Linked DNA regions of Saccharomyces cerevisiae S288C. Changing the gene in region 2 together with the main gene of any one other region gives a genetic interaction. Each region holds a gene or a part of one and is shown on either strand. Other genes may lie near its edges.

Region 1 (3,681 bases), on a different chromosome or scaffold from region 2:
TGGGCACCATAGTCCCGTATAAGTCTATTGTTATGAGACGGCCGGCTTCTTCCGAACTTTCAGGATCTGTGAAAACAATTCCGATGTTTACATTATGTGTAATAGGAGGGTCTGGTGCGTATTTTTTCTTTAGGTCTAAGGAGTCTGAAGAAGCCCTTTTGTTATCCACAGGTAATGGCAGAGCCGTTATGCAACTAAACATGAATGCCACATAAAGATAAAGAAAAAAGCTCTTCATTGGGAACCAATGTATACAAATTGTAATAATCTTTCAATTGTGATACTGAATATGAATAGTCTTCTTTATTTATCTACTGCAGTAGTTGATTCTATATATTCTATATATTCTATATTTTTCTTCTATTTTTTTAAATATTTTTTTTCCAATCAAATTGAAAGACCCAAAGAAGGATCGATCTTCTCCAAAGGGACGCGTCGTGTGCCTACAGTTTCCAAATCAGGAATGTATTTTCCTATTTAGGCAGGTTCCTGCAGCAGCCGCACCCCAATGAGGAAGGAGCATACCGTTTCGTAAGAATCATATTTTAATGGTTTTTGGCTTGCCAATGGAGGGTATGAGATCTTGCTTTAGGATGTCTCTACACTGAATCAGCTTTAAATCCTTGATATCTATCGTGGAATCTTGTGGGCCCCGCTCAGCTATGTTTAAATCATACGTTTTTTGTAGGATACTGGTGACGAGCCACAGCACTTGGCCCAAGGATGCGCTTAATGACAGCTGTGTGCAGCGGCGGTCGCCTAGTAACGAGTCAGTGAGCATGGCGCTGATTAAATCACCACTTCCACTAAATTTTGCGTTGATCTTGGGGATTTCATAGAAGAATATCTCTTCACTGGCCGAGCAATCAAACCCTGCTACTACGTAAGTGTCGTTGCTCAGGAATTCAGATAATTCCAGACTAGTGACAACTATTCGGCTTACTCGAGGGTACTTTTTATGAAATAGTTTAAATGCCTGCTTAGCGTCGTCTAAGGTACGAATTGACATCCCCACCAACAGTTCCATTTCAAACTGATTTGGTGTGGCCAAAAAAATTTTGAAGTTTTGTAAAATGTCTTGGTATACCGCAACACATTCTCGATCCACGTACAGCCTTCCATTATCGCCCAGTACAGGATCTAATATCCACTTGACGTTTTCACTCCCCTCACATAATTGACCCACTATTCCTGCTACCTTTTGCAGGGCTTGAACATTGGGTAAATAGCCACTAAGTACGGCATCATACTTGATTCTAAGAGACCCAATCAAGCCCTTCTCTACAATGTCTACCAACTCCTCAGTGCTGCATTTGAAGCCTGTGAAGTGGGCGTACCCCGAGTGGTTAGAAAACTGAACTGTGTTCAATACGTCCACATCCCAACCTCTGTATTGAAGTGGGAACGTAGCGGCCTTGTTTCCCACGTAGCCATGTATGACGTGTGATTGAATGGAGAGCACTTTTTTTGTCGTATGTAATGTACTGGTCATTGGCACCACCCTCACACAGGCATGTATTCAACCTTCCACTGCGTCTGGTCTAATTTCTCAAAGCTAGTTATTATCTTTATCTTGAATGGTGATGACAATAGAGTAAGAATGAGGGAAAAAAGAAAAGTTGAAAAAAAAAAAATCCAAAAAATTCAAAAACGTGTACAGAAACCTAGAAGGATACGTGATAGAAATACAGATATATAACAAGGTTGAGATACAATCGAGCCACTATGAAGTTCGTGACAGCTAGTTATAACGTCGGGTATCCTGCGTACGGTGCAAAATTTTTGAATAACGACACATTACTTGTGGCAGGCGGTGGAGGAGAAGGAAACAATGGCATACCAAACAAGCTGACGGTCTTGCGCGTGGATCCTACCAAAGATACTGAGAAGGAACAGTTTCATATATTGAGCGAGTTTGCATTGGAAGACAACGACGACTCTCCTACTGCAATTGACGCTTCCAAGGGTATCATTTTGGTTGGCTGCAATGAAAATAGCACTAAGATTACCCAAGGTAAAGGTAATAAGCACTTGAGAAAATTTAAATACGATAAAGTGAATGATCAATTGGAGTTCCTCACTAGTGTAGACTTTGACGCATCTACAAATGCGGATGACTACACGAAGCTGGTTTATATTTCACGAGAAGGTACCGTTGCAGCTATCGCATCATCTAAAGTACCTGCTATAATGAGAATCATTGACCCGAGCGACTTGACAGAGAAGTTTGAGATCGAGACTAGGGGTGAAGTAAAGGATTTACACTTTTCCACTGATGGTAAGGTTGTTGCTTATATCACCGGTTCTAGCTTGGAAGTGATTTCAACAGTGACTGGAAGTTGCATTGCTAGGAAAACAGATTTTGATAAGAATTGGAGTTTATCTAAAATAAACTTCATAGCCGATGACACAGTATTGATAGCAGCCTCTTTAAAAAAAGGGAAAGGTATTGTGCTGACCAAAATAAGCATCAAATCAGGAAACACTTCCGTATTAAGATCCAAACAAGTGACAAACAGATTCAAAGGGATTACTTCTATGGATGTCGACATGAAGGGTGAATTGGCGGTACTGGCAAGTAATGACAATTCCATAGCTCTTGTGAAACTAAAAGACCTGTCAATGTCTAAAATATTCAAACAAGCTCATAGTTTTGCCATTACAGAGGTCACTATCTCTCCGGACTCTACATATGTGGCGAGTGTTTCGGCAGCCAACACTATCCACATAATAAAATTACCGCTTAACTACGCCAACTACACCTCAATGAAACAAAAAATCTCTAAATTTTTCACCAACTTCATCCTTATTGTGCTGCTTTCTTACATTTTACAGTTCTCCTATAAGCACAATTTGCATTCCATGCTTTTCAATTACGCGAAGGACAATTTTCTAACGAAAAGAGACACCATCTCTTCGCCCTACGTAGTTGATGAAGACTTACATCAAACAACTTTGTTTGGCAACCACGGTACAAAAACATCTGTACCTAGCGTAGATTCCATAAAAGTGCATGGCGTGCATGAGACGAGTTCTGTGAATGGAACTGAAGTCTTATGTACTGAAAGTAACATTATTAATACTGGAGGGGCAGAGTTTGAGATCACCAACGCAACTTTTCGAGAAATAGATGATGCTTGAGCTTGAGAGAAAGTTATGAGGTAGCAATAATGAAGTAGCGAAAAGGAGAGTGACGACACTCAAGCTATGAAAAAAAACGCAAAGATACAAAAACGATCTCAATGATATTGATGATAGAGATTTATCTGATAAATTAGAAGTGGTGTATTTACATGTTTTTGTATATGTTTTGGAATTGAGCGTAATAGAAAGGACGGCAGTCCTTATGGTTTATGACAAATACGAAAAAAATACTACACAATGCTTTATATTATGTTCTCATTATTATATACGAATACGTACTTCTGCTGGTGCATTGTCTGCGCTACTTTTTTGAATTTCTATTTTTATTTTTACCATTATGGTTGGTCTTTTTCTTTTTGATGCTATCCTTAAATAATTTATCTAGGTCATATTCATCCTCTCCATCGTCTTGGCTCCCTGTAAATTCCTTATCCTTAGCATCCCTTTTCTCGTCTTCATTTTGTTCGCCTTCATCAAACTTTCTCTTCCTGGAACCACTATCATCAGAATTATCGCCAAAGGTTTTTCTCCCACTTA
Region 2 (2,967 bases):
TTTCCACTATAACAAGCAATGCCATTTCTTGGACGTTCACTGCAGGATACTTCAATATTTTGCCAGACATCAAAGCAAAACTGCTGGCAACGCCGGTTGCTGAGGCAAATGTAATAACAGCTTCCCCCTTTGCAAACGGCTTTTACCAATCAAAGGGCGTCTCATCAAATTTACCTGGTGCTTACTTGTACCTGTCAAAAAAATTTCTACAAGATGTATGTAGGTACAGACAAGATCATGCTATTACATTAAGAGAATGGCAAAGAGGCGTAGTAAATAAGCCGAATGGTTGGTCATATCACGCAAAAGGTATTTGGCTTTCCGCTCGTGATAAAAATGATGCTAACAATTGGAAACCCTTTATCACGGTTATAGGATCTTCAAACTATACGAGAAGGGCGTATTCATTAGATTTGGAATCGAATGCTCTCATTATTACAAGAGATGAAGAGCTAAGAAAAAAAATGAAAGCAGAGTTAGATAATTTATTACAATATACAAAACCTGTAACTCTAGAAGACTTTCAATCAGACCCAGAAAGACATGTTGGCACTGGTGTAAAGATAGCTACCTCCATTTTGGGTAAAAAACTTTAGATTCTATTCTATCATAGTATGTCGCCTGTAAATATGGAAAAATAAAAGAAAAAATAGTAATAATAAATGCATTATCTAAAACTCCTTAAATTTGCAAACATCGCAAAGCCATTAAGGTAGAGAATGAGCTGACCTTGTTATAGTTTTCCTTTTGGCAACCGTGGTTTCCGTCCTACGTAAACATACTGAACTTGACAAAGTATGACCAATAAGGTGACAAATTGTATCAATTTTACCCAAAAGGGCGTTGAATTAAATGGTATCTCGTAAAACAATGCATTGGTCGGTATTACCAGTCTACCTAATAAATCGATAGATTCAGCCAAAAATGATATCAATGCAAACTTTGATGATAAACCTACTGTTGAGCATCCCATCCAGTTTATACTCATTTGAGGCACATACTTGAAACATTTAAGCAGATTTGCCATTACCCACAAATAATTTATGTGTTCCAAATAGAAAACGCCAAATTTACCTGAATTTTTCAACGGTAAATTAGAGATGGAACAGCCATATGTAAATATGCCTAATACAAGGAACACACTTATAATTATTATGGAAGTAATGGAAATGCCCTGATAAATATGTTTAGTTGACCTATAATAGTATAACTGCCTTAAAACCATCATGCAGCAACAGGAAACGCAAAAATCTTTTAGAATGAGGAAACTGGATATAGGTATACTACGGGCATCATTCAACGGATAAAAAAGTGGGAATCTTTGAGACAGTTGTTCCCTCACCAGAGATGAATAACAATAATGCAACGCGCAATACAAGTACAGACCATTACCAACAAAATCTAGCAGAAATAAATCATATGAAAGCCCGTAAATAGATCGATGAAGTTTATTATAGCGCTTTTGACATAGAATGGCGATGATCTATGTAAGAAATGGAAGTTTTCTCCCTTAGTTAGTCAAACCTTTCATGTATACTTTCTCCTTCAATTATGCATACTGATAAAAAACCTGCCAAGCCCTGCAGAACAATAACAAGCATGTGAATGATTCAATATAATTGCTTCGCAGGGCTCCTCAACCTCTCCTCTGGAAAACCTTACCTCAATGAGGTTAAAAATTGTGGGTTTTTCGTTCGCAGAGGAAAAAAAAACTTGTCAAAACACGCCTCTGCAGTAGAACACGAATTATACATAAGAAAAATAACGATACAAGAAAGGCGATTTCGATTTGGGACTAAGTGTTACACGAAAGGCATAGAGTATCAAAAAAAGGAAGCAAGATGGATTACGATAGCTCTGATACAATGAACGGTGGTTCAAGTAACCCCTTAATCACTAAGATGAATACAATGAAATTATTATATCAACACTATTTGGATAAAGTCACTCCTCACGCTAAGGAGAGGTGGGCTGTATTGGGTGGTTTGTTATGTTTGTTTATGGTTCGTATTACAATGGCCGAAGGCTGGTATGTGATTTGTTATGGTCTAGGTCTATTTTTATTGAATCAATTTTTAGCCTTTTTGACCCCAAAATTCGATATGTCCTTACAGCAAGATGAAGAAAACAACGAATTGGAAGCTGGAGAAAAATCAGAAGAATTCCGTCCATTCATCAGAAGATTACCAGAGTTCAAATTCTGGTATAACAGCATTAGAGCCACTGTCATTTCCCTCTTGTTGTCGCTATTTTCAATCTTCGATATTCCAGTATTTTGGCCCATCTTATTGATGTATTTCATATTATTGTTTTTTTTAACTATGAGAAGGCAGATTCAACATATGATAAAATATAGATATATACCCTTAGATATCGGTAAGAAGAAATATTCTCATTCTTCTAACTGATATACCCTGACTCCACATACCTATTCAACGAACACATTCGTATCTTAATTATATGTAAACAAAATTATATGATAGTTACAGAATAATTGTGATTATTTTCTCCTTCTACTCATCTTCTCTTATATTGGAAGAATACATGAAGTTATTGATTAAGCAAAATTGAAGGGAAGAGGCTCATTTTCTTCCATTTATAAATGGAGAGCTTGAGATGCCTCCAATTGATAAATTTTTGTAAAGACTTTCAAGAAACATGTCTAAAAAGAATTGACAGCTTCGAACCTTTCTGCATAATTACTAATACCAAATTAGTGAGAAATGGGGTATGTCGAGGAATAAAGGATGCAAAAGAGAGAGTAATGTCATGCAAGTTGTGAGTTTGAAATGTTCACACGTTTATAATGTCCATACTCCGTGGCGTGCATGTGTTTTAGTGTATTAGTTTTCCAAGTTATTAAAGAACTTAGTAAATTTATCATCGAACGCATTTTGATTAAGTGGCACAATAGACTTCAATGGAAAATGAAAATCATATCTGTAGCAAAAACGACAGCGAAGATAA

Evidence for each region.
Region 1: mutations in RER1 (region 2) and SEC12 together harm fitness more than expected from each alone (negative genetic interaction), as found in Saccharomyces cerevisiae (2 studies listed by BioGRID).

The regions. Positions count from the first base shown.
Region 1 is NC_001146.8:672,734-676,414, reverse strand, and holds SEC12 (Sar family guanine nucleotide exchange factor SEC12), read left to right. Parts: upstream 1-1,725; coding exon 1,726-3,141; downstream 3,142-3,681. Other genes in the region: peptidylprolyl isomerase family protein CPR8, read right to left, coding at 1-238; putative pyridoxal kinase BUD17, read right to left, coding at 539-1,492; MPP6 (Mpp6p), read right to left, coding at 3,446-3,681.
Region 2 is NC_001135.5:110,075-113,041, forward strand, and holds RER1 (protein retrieval receptor), read left to right. Parts: upstream 1-1,841; coding exon 1,842-2,408; downstream 2,409-2,967. Other genes in the region: PGS1 (CDP-diacylglycerol--glycerol-3-phosphate 3-phosphatidyltransferase), read left to right, coding at 1-596; YCL002C (uncharacterized protein), read right to left, coding at 734-1,483, 1,560-1,601. UniProt on the Saccharomyces cerevisiae protein: Involved in the retrieval of endoplasmic reticulum membrane proteins from the early Golgi compartment. Required for correct localization of SEC12, SEC71 and SEC63 in the endoplasmic reticulum.